Oryctolagus cuniculus: one gene and its partners. The protein of the gene in region 1 purifies or fractionates together with the protein of each later gene. This does not show direct contact. Links are inferred from orthologs where the notes say so. Each region holds a gene or a part of one and is shown in the gene's direction. Other genes may lie near its edges.

What was found.
Region 2: the proteins of MED16 (region 1) and CDK8 purify together in Homo sapiens (affinity purification with mass spectrometry; 10 studies listed by BioGRID and IntAct, counting the BioPlex papers as one, with this or other methods). This does not show direct contact. The link is inferred for Oryctolagus cuniculus from reciprocal best matches to the Homo sapiens genes MED16 and CDK8.
Region 3: the proteins of MED16 (region 1) and CDK19 purify together in Homo sapiens (affinity purification with mass spectrometry; 6 studies listed by BioGRID and IntAct, counting the BioPlex papers as one, with this or other methods). This does not show direct contact. The link is inferred for Oryctolagus cuniculus from reciprocal best matches to the Homo sapiens genes MED16 and CDK19.
Region 4: the proteins of MED16 (region 1) and MED9 purify together in Homo sapiens (affinity purification with mass spectrometry; 5 studies listed by BioGRID and IntAct, with this or other methods). This does not show direct contact. The link is inferred for Oryctolagus cuniculus from reciprocal best matches to the Homo sapiens genes MED16 and MED9.

What each region holds. Positions count from the first base shown.
Region 1 is NC_091447.1:58,476,248-58,480,565, reverse strand, and holds the start of MED16 (mediator of RNA polymerase II transcription subunit 16), read left to right. Parts: upstream 1-1,508; 5' UTR 1,509-1,665; intron 1,666-2,940; 5' UTR 2,941-2,983; coding exon 2,984-3,116; intron 3,117-3,843; coding exon 3,844-3,951; intron 3,952-4,313; coding exon 4,314-4,318. UniProt on the Homo sapiens protein: Component of the Mediator complex, a coactivator involved in the regulated transcription of nearly all RNA polymerase II-dependent genes.
Region 2 is NC_091440.1:96,647,374-96,651,020, forward strand, and holds part of CDK8 (cyclin-dependent kinase 8), read left to right. Parts: intron 1-231; exon of another isoform or gene 232-344; intron 345-1,463; coding exon 1,464-1,604; intron 1,605-3,647.
Region 3 is NC_091436.1:60,950,211-60,953,857, forward strand, and holds part of CDK19 (cyclin-dependent kinase 19), read left to right. Parts: intron 1-2,240; coding exon 2,241-2,384; intron 2,385-2,501; coding exon 2,502-2,571; intron 2,572-3,647.
Region 4 is NC_091448.1:66,357,202-66,361,413, forward strand, and holds the start of MED9 (mediator of RNA polymerase II transcription subunit 9), read left to right. Parts: upstream 1-1,265; 5' UTR 1,266-1,356; coding exon 1,357-1,583; intron 1,584-4,212.

The sequences.
Region 1 (4,318 bases):
CGCCCCCTGCGTGGAGCTGGCCTGCACCCCTGTCCCCCGCGTGTGGCTTGTGCTTTGGGGAATGGGAAGGGTTTAATAAATTTCTGGTGCTCTGGCCTTGGGCTGTGCAGATGCTTCTTTGGGGGGGGGCTGGGACCCCCCCCCCCCGGCCCAGCCCCTCTCAGCTGCCCGGGTTCCCGTGGACGGGGCATCAGCGGCTGGAGTGACTGCAGGTGGCCACAGACACCCCCGGCGGCCTCACTGCAGGGCTGGCTTTGGCTCCTTCCTCGTCTGAAAGTTGTATATTTATTATCATTTTACATGAAAGGCACAGTTACACGGGGCGGGGCGGGGGGATCTTCATCTAAGAACAGTGACGGCCAGGGCTGGCCCAGGCTGAAGCCAGGAGCCGGGAGCGCCACCCAGGTCTCCCCCGTGCGTGCAGGGGCCCTGGCACCTCTCCGTCACTGCCGCCTTCCCGGGCCGTTAGCAGGGAGCTGGGCTGGAAGGGGAGCAGCCGGGGTGCCCGGGGTGGCCACTCAGACCTCCAGGGACCGTCCGTGAAGCCCCCTGCCCAGTTCTCAGCCACGGCAGAGGGCCTGCTGGACCCAGGCGTAGCCCAGCAGCTGAGCCCCAGGGTAAAGCTCCTGACCTCGCTCCCTGCTATGCACACCTGGGAGGCGGCAGTGCCCGCTCGAGTGCTGGGGGCCCTGCACCCACGTGGGGAACCCGGGGCTCCTGCTTGGCCCAGCCCCGGAGTGAACCAGCCGATGGGAGATCTGTCCCCCTCTCCCCCTCTCCCCCTCCCCACGGCCCCTGCCTATCAAATAGGTAAGGGAAACAAAGTCACAGCGCTGCTGCGGGCAGAGCTGCGGCGACCGTGGCCCCGCCGGGCCCACCTGTGAGCCGTGGCGCTGCACCGCGGGAGCTCCGTGTCCCGGGGTGCGTCTGCTATGCTGTGGGTTCAGTGCCCTTTGGTCGCGGGCCGCCTTCTCACCTGCTCCGGTGTGTGCCAGAGGGCAGGAGCAGGGCGTGGGCTGCAGAGCGGACGGCGTAGACCCCCGGGACCCCGCGCTCACCGCCCAGTCACGCACACCCTGCGTGGGCATTCACGCGCGACGGCTGCGGCTCCACGCGGACCGGGCCGGCTCCTCCTGCACGCTGTTCGTGGAAAGGGGTAGCAAAATATGGAACGCTTCACGAATTTGCGTGTCATCCTTGCGCAGGGGCCATGCTAATCTTCTCTGTATCGTTCCAATTTTAGTATATGTGCTGCCGAAGCGAGCACGAACGACCGCTATCCTGGACAAGTATTTAAGGTGCCGAGAAATCTTGTCTTTACGATAAGGGTGAATTTTCTTGCGACAACTTTGTGGGGCACTCGTGCTCTTTACTGTGTTAGGACAGTATATGTTCTAATGAGGTGTAGTTTTTAATCGACGTTAGGGAAATATTTCTGTTTTATATGAGACACACGAACGGAGGCTGCCGGGAACCTAATAGGACTATGCAAATAAGCCCGGAAGCTGGGCGGAGCCGGAGCCGCCGCCGTCCCATGAGCCTGCGGGAAGCGGCGGCGCGGCTTGGGCGACTCGTTGGTCCGGGAAGATGGCGGCGCCGGAGCCGCGGCGTTAGGGCGAGTGCGGGCCGCAGCCGTGCCCTCGGCTCCACGCTCGGGCCAGCCAGGTGAGCGCGGGGCTCGTGGGAGGGCCCGGCGGCGGCGGCGGCGGCCAGCCGGCCTCGGGACGACGTCCGCGACCCCGGGGACAGCGGCGCGGGGAAGGCAGGGGCGGGGCCTCCGGGGTCAGGGGGCGGGCCCGAGCGCAAAGGCTTCTGGGCGCGCGGCCCGGCGCGACGTGGGGGAGCCCGGGCGCTGCGCGGAAATTGAGGCGAAGTCCGCGGCCGAAGCGGGGCGGCGGGACCGGGGGCGGAGCCTGAGGCGAGCTGGGGGCGGGGCTGCCTGGCTCGGGGGCGGGGCTGCCTGGCTCGGGGGCGGGGCCCGCAGACGGGGGGGGGGTCCCTGGGGTTGGGCCTGAGACCCTGGGGCTGGATGTCGGGACGGTCGCGGCGTGGGCTCGCGGGGTGCCGGGGCGGAGCTGAGGGGTCGGGGTGGGCGTGGGCTCGCGGGGTGCCTGGGGCGGAGCTGAGGGGTCGGGGTGGGCGTGGGCTCGCGGGGTGCCCGGGGCGGAGCTGAGGGGTCGGGGTGGGCGTGGGCTCGCGGGGTGCCTGGGGCGGAGCTGGGGGGTCGGGGTGGGGTGGGCGTGGGCTCGCGGGGTGCCTGGGGCGGAGCTGGGGGGTCGGGGTGGGGTGGGCTCGCGGGGTGCCTGGGGCGGAGCTGGGGGGTTGGGGTGGGCGTGGGCTCGCGGGGTGCCTGGGGCGGAGCTGGGGGGTCGGGGTGGGGTGGGCGTGGGCTCGCGGGGTGCCTGGGGCGGAGCTGGGGGGTCGGGGTGGGGTGGGCTCGCGGGGTGCCGGGGCGTGGGCTCGCGGGGTGCCGGGGCGGAGCTGAGGGGTCGGGGTGGGGTGGGCTCGCGGGTGCCTGGGGCGGAGCTGGGGGGTCGGGGTGGGGTGGGCTCGCGGGTGCCTGGGGCGGAGCTGGGGGGTCGGGGTGGGGTGGGCTAGGGTGGGCGTGGGCTCCCGGGGTGCCTGGGGCGGAGGGGTGGGCCCACGTCGATGGAGCCCCTTCTCTTTGGAGCCGCCAGGGGCGCCGGCGCTCGCCGCTGTGGTCACTCTGGGCCCTCCGCAGGCCCGGGCCCAGCCTGGGGGACCGCGCGGCCCTGGGCGCCCCCTGCCGCCCCATCCTCGCTCCCCGGACCAAGCACATCTGCGGGGTCCTGTGGAGACCTGGGGGTGCTGGCCCGCGCCCCAGCCGCCCGGCCCCTCCTGGAGTCCCCGTGTGGACGCCAGCGTCGCGGAGGACGGGCGTGGCCTCGTGTGTTTAAGCCCCCCTATGCCCCCCCCCAGCACTGGGCCGTGTCAGTGACGAGCCCCCCGGGCCTGCGGCGGGATGGACCTGGCCTACGTCTGTGAGTGGGAGAAATGGCCCAAGACCACGCACTGCCCCTCGGTGCCCCTGGCCTGCGCCTGGTCCTGCCGCAACCTCATCGCCTTCACCACAGACGTGCGGAACGAGGACCAGGGTGCGCCCCCCACTGCCCTCTCTCCCCGCATGTCCCCCACCTGTCCCCGCCCCCCGTGTCCCCGTCCTGCTCCCACCTGGCCCCGCCCCCCATGACCCCACCTGGCCCCGCCCCCCGTGTCCCCGCCCGGCCCCCACCTGTCCCCGCCCCCCGTGTCCCCGCCCGGCCCCCACCTGTCCCCGCCCCCGTGTCCCCGCCCGGCCCCCACCTGGCCCCGCCCCCCGTGTCCCCGTCCTGCCCCACCTGGCCCCGCCCCCCGTGTCCCCGTCCTGCCCCACCTGGCCCCGCCCCCCGTGTCCCCCATCCTGCCCCACCTGGCCCCGCCCCCCGTGTCCCCCATCCTGCCCCACCTGGCCCCGCCCCCCGTGTCCCCGCCCGGCTCCGCCCCTCACCTCCTCTGGAACTTGGGGCGTCCAGAGCCCCGGCCTCCCCGACGCTGGGGTCCGGCTCCACGTGGGGCTGGGGTCTTGCTGGCCCAGGCCCCGTCCCGGCCCCTGCTCTGCGTCAGTGGCCGTGCCGTCTGCCCTGCTGCCGGGTGACGCGTGCTCGGGGACCGCGGGCGCTGCTGCCCGGGCGTCGGCCCCTCTCACTCCATCTTCCCATCGCCCGGTCACTGGCCGCTCTGCCCGCCAGGGGGCAGCCTGTCCCTCACCATCGCCCTGGGGGTCCTCCACGGAGCCGCCTGGGGGTCACGGGACCCCTCGGGACTGTGTCCTTGTGCCCCCAGACCTGACCCGCACCATCCACATCCTGGACACGGAGCACCCGTGGGACGTGCACTCCATCAGCTCCGGCCACACCGAGGCCATCACCTGCCTGGAGTGGGACCAGTCAGGTGAGGGCGGGGGCGGGGCCTGGCTGCCCGAGGGGCGGAGTTACGGAGGGAGGGGGAGAGGGAGGGAGGGAGGGGGAGAGGGAGACAGGGAGGGGGGGGGTGGAGAGCGAGGGGGGGTGGTCTCCCGTCCCTGATCCACTCTGGCCAGGGCCAGACCAGTCCAGTCCAGAGCCGGGAGCCAGGCGCTTCCCCGGGGCCCCCACAGGGTGGCGCCCTCCCCAGCCTCTGTCCCAGAGCCCCCGCCGGGCCTCTGCTGCCCGCGCCAGAGCCCAGAGCCGGCGCTGCGGCGGGCGCCGGTCCCGCCTGGCCGGGTCCCCGGGCCTCTGCCCTGGCCCCCACGTCCCGCGACGTTGTCCCCGCAGGCTCC
Region 2 (3,647 bases), on another chromosome or scaffold:
ATTTTTAAAAGATTTATTTATTTATTTGAAAGGTAGTTAGAGAGAGGCAGAGAGAGAGAGAGAGAAAGAGAGAGAGAGAGAGGTCTTCCATCCCCTGGTTCACTCTTCAAATGGTCTCAACAGCCAGAGCTGGGCCGATCCGAGGCCAGGAGCCTGAAGCTGCTTCTGGGAGTCCCATGCGGGTATAGAGGCTCAAGGACTTGGGCCATCTTCCACTGCTTTCCCAGGCCATAGCAGAGAATTGGATGGGAAGAGGAGCAGCCAGGACTCGAACCAGCGCCCATATGGGATGCCAGCACTGTAGGCAGCAGCTTTACCCTCAGTGCCACAGTGACAGCCACTAGGTATTCTTTGCTATACACTTTTTCCATGGAAAGTAAAACTCCTTACTTGTTAATCATTAATTATCCCTTCTATCCATGTTGTGTTCTGTGTATCAAAAGAAAATAGAAAGTAAAAGGACTAACCTAAAACATTAAAAAAAATTCACTTATGTTTTCATTATATCTGCTGATTTCAAGAATCTGCTTAAAATACACTTAGAAATATTGGTCTAGAGTCTGCTTTTTTCAATACTTAGTGCCAGCAATTATGCATGGTGGTATGTAAGGCAGAGTTGACTGCAACTGACTTAGAAATGTCCCTGCAATTTTTGTGTTTTAATTAAAATGAAGAAGCCTCTTGAGAGGGTAAGGTACATTCATTTATAAAACTGTACTTTGTTTTACTGGATTTCCTATAGAACTATATGTGGAACATTTTAATGGGTCTTTCCCCCCTCACTTGAATCTTTTTTTCCTAAAGATTTATTTGTTCATTTGAAATTCAAAGTTACAGAGAGAGAGAGAGATGCACACACAGAAAGAGAGATCTTCCATCTCTGGTTCATCCCCCAGATGGCCACAGCAACTAGAGCTTGGACAGGCCGAAGCCAGGAGCTTCATCTGGGTCACCCATATGGGTAGCAGGGGCCCGAGTACTTGGGCCATCTGCTGCTGCTTCCCAGGTGCATTAGCAGGGAGCTGGATCAAAAGTGGAGTAGTCAGGACTTGAACTGGTGTCTATGTGGAATGATGGCATCACAGGCAGTGGCTTATTTAACCCAGTGTCACACATGCTGGCCCCAAAGATTCTGTTCTTGAAAATTTTAACCAAATGAATGGAGGTCAAATATACTTCTAAAGTCAGTAAATTCTAATTATGCTTTAAAAAATAAAAATACAATGTTTCTATTTTGAACATTTATTTTCTGAGATGCTATCAAGTACTTTGGAAATGGAATTTCAGCTTCAGTTATTAGGAAGTTTTAAAGTTATTTATGTTATTCAGCAGAATGTGAAAAATTATGTTTTCAGTATCTGTAGAAATCCCCGAGTGTTTCTTTTTCTGTAAGGAAAATATTCAGATCTTCTTTCCTCTTTCCTTTTTTAAGCTTTGGGTGATTCTTTCTTTCTTTTTTTCAGCATATAATCAAGTTTCACAGAGCTTCAAAAGCAAACAAGAAGCCAGTTCAATTACCTCGGGGAATGGTGAAGTCACTATTATATCAGATCCTAGATGGGATTCATTACCTGCATGCTAACTGGGTGTTGCACAGGGATTTGGTAAGTCACTCTGTAGTTGAGTTTAAACCAGAAAGATGCATTTATGATTGGATGCTTTCTTAGTTGTGTTAGATTTCAGTGCTTCTTGTAGACCTGTTGACCTTAAAGAGGGAATAAAAGTGCAGTAGTCTCAAAACATGTCCTAACTTTGTGAGCTTGGATAACACAGCCTGATTTTCTGACATGTACTAGCTGGTGTGGCTTTCAGGGAGATAGAAGACACATTTGTTTTCCTAAGCTTTGGTTTCCCTTTTTAGTCCATAAGTAAGCATTGGCTTGTTTTACATTGATTCTTAGGTGGTAGGCAAACTCTGGAAATGAGTATGTTTATAATAACTTGAAATAAAACTTTTAGAGCCTACTACATACTAGTTACATACAATAAGTGGAAAATGTTAATTCTGTAGTTATCCACTACATTAACAGCAGTCTTTTGGCCCATAAGCCTTTATAATCATAATGAAGTATATTATTAGAAGCCTCGCTGTATTCAAGTGCATTAAATTTTTAGGAATTTAAAAATGCCAGAAATTGGCTCTCATTTTATCTTACAAAATACGCTTTTTTCATCCATCTAGCATGTTATTATTTATTAAATCTTAATAAATTTAAATTACTTAAACATGAAATTATTCTTTCTTTTGCATAATTACATTATGCTTTTGTAGTTCTGTTCCTAATAAGTGTAGTAACTATAGTAAGGCTTTTAATAGCATGTTCATTTAACAATTATAAACACAGTGCCAGAAATGATGATTTCTATCTGTAATCATGTGTGTACCTTGGAAAAACCCTGTAGACTCTGAGGTAGAGCTGATCTAGGCCCTTACACAAGGTGTCTTTTCCAAGCTGCTGTGTATTTGATGCATTCAGTCTCTGGCCTTTAAAGAAGCTATTTCAGTGGCAGTTTCTACTTCTTTCTTTCTTTTTTTTCTTTTAAGATTTATTTGTTCATCTGAAAGAATTACAGAGAGAGAAAGACATATCTTTCATCCACGGGTTCATTCCCCCAATGGCCACAACAGGTGGGGCTGAGCCAGGCTGAAGCCAGGAGCTTCATCTGAATCTCCCAAGTGGGTAGCAGAGGCCCAATTACTTGGGCCATGTCTGCTGCTTTCTCAGGTGCATTATAGGGAGCTGGATCAGAAGTGGAGCAGCCTGGACTCAAAACTGGCACCCTTATGGGATGCCAACATCACAGGCAGCAGCTTAATCCACTGAGCCACAAGACTGGCCCCTGCTCCTTTGATCTTGCTTCAAGAATTTGCTTTAATGTACATTTAATAGTAGTTATTCTGTGTCCAATCCTCATACCTACAGAGTGTTTATACTGGGACTAATAACACAGCAGGAAAATGGTTGAAATATTTTCCTTCCCCACACTCTGTTTTTAGTAGAATTAGACTGCACCAACAATGGATTTACAGAACACAAATAAGACAAATCCTTTGGCTTTTAATGAAGCTGAAAAAAATTTTGGCCTTTAGGGGTAGAGTTACATTATGGAAAAACACTTTTGAGCTACTGATTTTTTTTTTTTTTTTTTGATTTCTAAAAGAATAAAACTTTGCTAAAGATTATTTGTCCTCATAGAGTCACTTATGCCAGATAGCTCTACATTTTCTTTTTCTTTCAAAATTAAAAACAATTGTATATGTTCTTAAGGTACATATAGACTGATTTTTTAGACCAGTTAATTTTATGTAATTTGAACCACTTACATTAGTATTAACTACGGTAGTGAAAATAATTATGAAGTTGATTTCTTTTATCTCTTTTGGTAAAGGTCTTTGTATCGATATAGATTAAACAGATTGTCTTTCACACAGGGAAAGACAATATGGAAGATATCAATTTAGAAATCTCTGTTGTATATGTATTAAGAAAAGAGTACTTGGGAATCAATGTACCCTAAGCTTAGGCAAAGGAATGCAGTATCAGCATTTTAAAAATTTTTTAAAAAATTAAAAAAAAATTTAAAAATAATAAAACGTATTAGAAGTTGTTGCTTCCTATTGTCACCATGTGTTGGCAGTCCTGAAG
Region 3 (3,647 bases), on another chromosome or scaffold:
TGTGGCGCCGGCACACCGGGTTCTAGTCCCGGTCAGGGCACCGGATTCTGTCCTGGTTGCCCCTCTTCCAGGCCATTGGAGGGTGAACCAACAGCAAAAGGAAGACCTTCTCTCTGTCTCTCTCTCTCTCACTGTCCACTCTGCCTGTCCAAAAAAAAAAAAAGAGTCAAAAAGTAGGCACGGAATATTATGACTACTCTGTTGTGATGAATGGTCATGATGATGATGACTTTGCTGTGTCATTAAGGAAGATTAAGTTACATTTCATGGCATCTGGTGATGGCAGGTCACAGTGTAATATAATATGGCTTTTTAAAGCCTATGTTCCCATTATCTTGAAGCCAGTTTATATGAAAGGAAACCATTCCTGGATGGGATCACAAAAGTGAGACATTACTGTCTGATTTTTTTTCTCTTTAGCAGTGTGTTTTATGAAATGGCATACTGATGCTTAATGTAGCTAATGGATATGATAAACTTTTTTCCTATTTAGTTTATCTACTTCATTTGATGGGCTATTAAACACTAGATTATATATATATATGTATGTATGTGTGTGTGTGTGTGTATATATATATATTTAAGATTGCACCATAGTCCTTGCATTATTGTTTTTTCTTTTTAAGAAAATACTTGGAGGCTGGCACAGTAGGCTCAGCTTCCACCTGCGGCACCAGCATCCCATATGGGCACTGGTTCTAATCCTGGCTGCTCCTCTTCCAATCCAGCTCCCTGCTTATGGCCTGAGAAAGCAGTGGAAGATGGCCATACCTCTAAAATAAATAAATAAAATCTTAAAAAAAGAAAAAAGAAATAAAATACCTGGGCTTGATGTTGTAGCGTAATGGTAAAGCTGCCGCCTGCAATACCAGCATCCTGGTTGCTCCACTTCCAATCCAGCTCACTGCTAATGGCCTGGGAAAGAAGCAGAAGGTGGCCCAAGTGCTTGGGCCCCTGCACCTATGTGGGAGACCCAGTTGAAGCTCCAGGTTCCTGGCTTCAGCTTGGCCACCCCTGGCTGTTGTGGCCATTTGGGGAATGAACCAAGGGATAGAAGATCTTTCTCTCTACTTCCCCCCACCCTGTAGTTCTGTCTTTCAGAGCAATAAAGAAATATTTTTAAAAAATTACTTACTAAATAACATTTGGGTGGGCAAGCATAATATATTCATCTGTCTCACAAAAGTTAATTCATTCGTGAGTCCACTGTCGTGGCATAGCAAGGTTAAGCCTCCACCTCTGCCACTGACATCACATAAGGACACTGGTTCAAGACCTGGCTGTTCCACTTCCTATCCAGCTCCCTGCTAATGTGCCTGGGAAAAGCAGTGGAGAATGGCCTAATTGCTTGGGCCCCTGCACCCACATGGGAGACTCAGATGAAGCTCCTGGCTCCAGTCTGGCCTAGTCCCGGCCATTGCAGCCATTTTGGGAATGAACCATCAGATGGAAGATCTTACTCTATCTCTTTCTGACTCTGACTCTGCCTTTCAAATAAATAAAAAATAAATCTTAAATAAGTTAATACATTCATATACTCAGCAAAGCATTGTAAATATATTATTGTGTTCTTAGCATCTATGTTGCTGTCTTTTGGTTTGTAAAATCCAATGGAATAATCTATAACTGATGATTTTCAAGAATTCATGAAGTATTTAAAGGTGCCTGACTTCATGCAGGGTTTGGGAGTGAGGGGCAGGCAGCAGCTAGTGGACATGGTTTGGGTGAGCATTGTGTGTACTGCTTTCTCGCCATGCTTGTGTGTACTGTGTTGTTCATCAGCTTCTAGACCTTGCAGTTTGTTGAAGGAACTGTTGAATGTGGTAGTCTTTAAGGCAAAAGATGACTTTTGCCAAATCCTTTTTTGTGGTCTGCACTAACTGGGTCGAAACTTAGAAATTCTGCTCTATGATTGCTCTAAAGGAAATTATATGACTGTATCTGAAGATGTTATTTGAGTCTACTTGAGCTGAGTGTTACACTGTGTATTAGACCAAAACATTGAACACTTCAGTGATGGAATTTAAAGTAAATGTTTTTTATTTGCCTTTCAGCCTGTTGCATGATGATGCAGCTATTTCAAATCACATACGCTATTTCTGTTCTCTTAATGTATGTATTGTACTTTGTATATTGCTTTACTGAAAATTATCTTCATATGTAGGTTGAGATTACACCTTGGAATTATAATCAAGGAAATACAGAAATGTAGACAAAATTCTGTTTTTCTTCCTTTATAGACATATGGGCGATAGGTTGCATATTTGCTGAATTGTTGACTTCAGAACCTATTTTTCACTGTCGCCAGGAAGATATTAAAACAAGCAATCCCTTTCATCACGATCAACTAGATCGGATATTTAGTGTCATGGGATTTCCTGCAGGTAATTTATTTTCCTTTTCAAAATCACGTTTTGAGTCATATTTCAAAAACATCCTAAGTATATTTTAAAACTAAAATAATTAGTTTCCTCTAACAATATTCAATATTTTTTTGTAAGATAAAGACTGGGAAGATATTAGGAAGATGCCAGAATACCCTACACTTCAAAAAGACTTTAGAAGAACAACGTAAGTAATTCCACATTGTCTTAGTCTCTTTGGGCTGCCATAAAAATAACATTAGACTGGGTAATTTATAAATAGCTGAAATCATTTCTCACAGTTCTGGAGGCTGGTAAGCGGGGGCTCAAGGCTCCAGCAGCTTCAGTGTCTGGTGAGGGCTGCTGTCTGCTTCCAAGTTGACACCTTGTTCCTAAACTTCCCTGCTGCAGGCAGAAGGGCAAAAGCAACAGATACTGTGTGCAGCCTCTCCTGTTTTTTTGTTTTGTTTTGTTGTTGTTATTGTTGTTTTGACAGGCAGAGTTACAGAGAGAGAGAAAGGTCTTCCTTCTTGGTTCACCTCTCAAATGGCCGCTATGGCCGGCGCTCTGCGCTGACCTGAAGCCAGGAGCCAGGTGCTTCCTCCTGGTCTCCCATGCTGGTGCAGAGCCCAAGCAGAGAGCTGGACTGGAAGAGGAGCAACCAGGACAGAACCAGCGCCCCAACCGGGACTAGAACCCAGGGTGCCGGTGCCGCAGGCGGAGGATTAGCCTAGTAAGCCACAGTACCGGCCTGCCTCTCCTGTTTAAAACAAAGAGAAACCAGCCAATCCCATTCCTGAGTGACCTGATCACCTACCTGAGCTCTGCCTTCTAATAGTATTGCATTGCGTGTTAAGTTTCACTTTGGCTTTTGGAAGTGACACAAACAACCCATAGTATGTGTTAATTATAGGTAGGAACCTCCATGGGAATATCTACATCTTTTTAAAATCCAAATGTAGGGGTGGGCAATTGACTTGGCACTTCGGACACTGGTTATGATGTGCACCGCTAGATCAGTTCAGTTGCTGGTTCTGGCTCCTGACTCCAGCTTTCTGCCAATACGGATGCTGGGAAGCAACAGGTGATGGTTCAAGTAGTTGGGTCCATACCACCCATGTGGGAGACCTGGTTTGAGCTTTGTCCTGGTCATGCTCTGACTTTTGTAGACATTGAATGAACCAGCAGCAAGTGTCTCTTTCTCTCAAATAAATTTTTAAAAAGGAGATGTAGATTATGATTTAAACCAGAAATTAGATTCTAGTGGTATCTTAGTTATGCCTA
Region 4 (4,212 bases), on another chromosome or scaffold:
CTTTGTCACTAATTATATGAACTATTTATAGGGCAAATTGTCAATACCCAGTATTTGCTCATGCATCTAACATTTTCAATTTGTGGGTTTTTTTGTTTGTTTTTTAGCCATATCTATTTATACCTGATTTTTTTTTTCTTTTTAAAGGACGTTCTCATTATGATGCCAATGACAAATTCGGGGCTTGTGATCAAACACGCTGGGAGGGGAAAAAAAATGACGCACGTTGCCATGGGGATATTATTGATGACTATTAGATTGCTTCTCAAATTCTGAATAGAAAGCCACGTTAACATTTTGAATCATAAAGTTACAAAACTAGCAGAAGCCTGAGGAACCTGGCTGAGACCATAGGTTTGGCGTTAGGCAAACTGGGTGACCCTAGACCCACACCCATTGTTAAGTCTCAGTTACTTTGTCTTTAAAATGGGGATGCTTTGGAGTTGGCGTCCTAGCGCTGTGGGTTAGGCCAGAGCTTGGGACACCTGCCACCCACACTAGAGAGTTGTTTCAGGTCCCGGCTGCTCTGCGTCCCATCCAGCTCTCTGCGGGACACCTGCCCCCCACACTAGAGAATTGTTTCAGGTCCCGGCTGCTCTGCCCAGCTCCCTGCTAATGAGCCTGGGAGGCAGCAGATGATGGCCCAGGTGCTTGGGCCCCTGCCACCCACGTGGGAGTCCTGGATGGAGTACCTAGCTCCTGGCTTCAGCCTGGCCCAGCCACAGTTGTTGGAGGCATTGGGAGAGAGAAGTATCCGAGAAAAGATTTCCGCGTGTCTATCACTTTGCCTTTCAAATAAAAATAAATTTAAAAATGTTGAACAGTTGTTTTAAAAAAATAAAATAGCGGGTCGAAGCCATGGTGCTGTGGGTTAAGTCGCGGCCTGCAGCGCCGGCATCCCATATGGGCGCCAGTCTGAGACTCGGCTGCTCCACTTCCCACCCAGCTCTCTGCTAAAGGCCTGGGAAAAGCAGCAGCAGATGGCCCAAGTACTTGGGCCCCTGCACCCGCGTGAAAACCCTGAACGAAGCTCCTGGCTCCTGGGTTGGCCCTGGCCCAGCCCTGGCCGTTGAGGTCACTTGAGCTAAATCGCCTGTTTCTGACTAATTTACTTAACTAGACTCGCAACCAAATCCAGCCTACACCAGCCCGCCCACCGCATGTCGCCTAGCAACAGCCTCCTCCCCTCACGCCTGCGCTTTTACCCCGCCCCCTGCTCAGTGCGCATGCTCAGATCCGTGCGTCCGGCCCCGCCCCTGCGAGGCGCTCAGCAGTGACGTGTAGAGTCCGCGACGCTCCCGGCGAGCCGAGCCGGTGAAGTGGGGGAGTTGGCTCGCTGGACCGAGCCCCGGGGCCATGGCCTCGGCCGGGGTGGCCGCTGGGCGACAGGCCGAGGATGCGTTACCGCCACCGGCCGACCCGCCGCTGACCGAGACCAAGCCGTTGCCGCCGCCGCAGCTGCCGCCACCGGTGGCCGCGCCCCAGCCGCAGCAGTCGCCGGCGCCCCGGCCCCAGAGCCCCGCCAGCATGAAGGAGGAGGAGAACTACTCCTTCCTGCCGTTGGTTCACAACATCATCAAATGGTAAGGAAGGGCCCCGGAAGAGGGGGCCCCGCCGCCGCCGCTGGCGCTGGCGCTAGGAGGCTGCAAGGGTGCGTCCCCATTTCTCGGGCGGGCAGGCCGAGGCCAGGGGGTGGGCAGGGGCCTCTCCCGAGAGCTCGCGGCGCCTGTCCGGGCGCATGGGGGCGCCGGGGGGCGCCGTGCTCTATGCGGGGGACACTTGCTCCGAGCTGGCCGGCACAGGTGGCCGGGGGCCTCGGGAGCCTGGGCAGCGTCCCTGAGGCTCCGTAGGGTTAAGACGCGCTCTGGTTTTCTCCTCGTCTTCAGCACATCCCGCAGAGAAACATCGTCGGGACTGCATAGCGTTCTGCTAGGCGTTACGGGGTGCGCACGGTAAAAGGGGCCGACTGCGGGCCGGCCTTGTGGCGTAGCAGGTAAAGCCGTCGCCTGTAGCGCCAGCATCCCGAATGTCTCCAGTTCGAGTCCCGGCTGCTCCACTTCTGGTCCAGCTCTCTGCTGTGGCCTGGGAAAGCAGTGGATGATGGCCCAAGTCCTTGGGCCCCTGCACCCACGCGGGAGACCTGGAAGAAGCTCCTGGCTCCTGGCTTTGTTCGGGCTATTTAGGGAGTGAACCAGTAGATAGAAGATCTCTCTCTGTTACCCATAATTATGTTACCCATAATTCATACAGATTGAGCCTGCAGGGCTGAGATGGCCTGCAGAGACACAGAAATCGCCTCCACCGGGCCTGGACTAACTTGATCCCAGCCTACCTTGAAAGGATATGGCCGTGCTGTTGGCCAGCCCTCAGGGGAGCCCAAGCTTTCGGACAGACAGGCTCTGGAAAGGAAAAAACAAAAACAGACAAGAAACCAAAGTCCCCCCCGTTCCACGCTTGCCTGAGTGAGTACGCCGCTGGCGCTGACGTCACGGAGTGGTGCCTGGGAGAGTGAGGAGGTGCAGCCGAGGCATCGGCCGCTTGCTGCAGGCAGACACGTCCCAACGGGACATGCGTGGTGTTTGGCCTTTCGTGGAAGTAGGAGGAGTACGTTCTGAAACAGCAGTGAGAGGTATAGGACAGCCAATACGAGGATTGTTTTGAAAGTTCACGGAAAAGTGCGTATTATGGAAAGATGTGTATGGGTTTCATTTTATTTTTCAGGGATTGGTTTTACTTATTTGAAAGGCAAAGTGATAGGGAGGCAGAGAGAGAGAGAGATCTTCCATCTGTTGGTTCACTGCCCAAATGGCCACAACGGCCGGCCTGGGCCAGGCTGAAGCCAGGAGCCTGGAACCCCATCCGGGTCTCCCACGTGGGCGACAGGGGCCCCAAGCACTTGGGCCATCCCGGCTGCTTTCCCAGGCGCATTATCAGGGAACTGAATTGGAAATGGAGCAGCGGGGACTTGAGTAGGTCCTCATGTGGGATGCCAGCATCAACGGCTTGTGCCACAATGCTGGCCCCTGAACCAAAATTTTAGTTCCATTTTTCCAGTAACTTTTTTTTTTTTAATTCATTTGAAAGGCAGAATTACAGAGAGGCAGAGAGAGAGAGAGAGAGAGCTTCCACCCAATGGTTCACTCCCCAAATGGCTGCAACAGCCGGAGCTGTGCCGATCTGAAGCCAGAAGCCAGGAGCTTCTTCTGGGTCTCCCAAGCAGGCAGGGGGCCAAGGACCTGGGCCATCTTCTACTGCTTTCCCAGGCCATGGCAGAGAGCTGGATCGGAAGTGGAGCAGCCGGGACTAGAACCAGCACCCATATGAAATGTCGGTACTGCAGGCGGTGGCTTTACCCACTACGCCATAGCGCCGGCCCCGCAGTAACTTTCTGAAGTTCCCTGTATGAGAACTGGCAGTGCAGTCGGTTTCTTTCCGTCGGAGTCACCACGAACAAGGTTGTTTTCAGCCCCGTTTTAATCTCATGCCACCATTCGTCGTGTGTGTAGTCTGTTGTTGGCTGACTCACGACTCAGTGCTAGATGTAAACCCCCAGGCTTGCCACTCGAGCTCAACCATTTAAAACCAAAGCAAGCTAAACTTGACACCACCACCATTGCGGGGGCGTTCAGGTTGAAGGTTGATGGGCTTGCCGATGCTGTGCTGAGATGGAGTCGCTGCTGACAACGTGGACTTTTTTTTTCTTTTAAAGATGTATTTATTTGGAAAGAGTTACAGGGTCCGATGTTACCTGCGGTGCTGCCTTCCCATATAGGCACCGGGTCGAGTCCTGGCTGCTCCACTTCGAATCCAGCTCCCTGCTAATGGCCTGGGAAAGGCAGCAGAAGATGGCTCAAGTGTTTGGACTCTGCTACCCGTGTGGGAGACCCAGAAGAAGCTCCTGGCTTTCACCTGCCCCAGCCCTAGCTGTTATGGCTGTTTGGGGACTGAACCAGCGGGTGCAAGATCTCTCGCTCTGTCTCTCCTCTCTAAGTTTGACTTTAATTAATGAATAAATCTTAAAAAATTTTTTTAAAAAAGGAGTTACAGTGAGAAGAAGAGACAGAGAGATCTTCCATGTGCAGGTTCAGTCCCCAGATGGCCAAAACAACGGGCCTGGGCCTGGCAGGATCTAGGAGCTTCATCCTGTTCTCCCACGTTGGTGGCAGGGACCCAAGGACTTGGACCATCTTTTCGCTTCATTTCCTAAGCCAT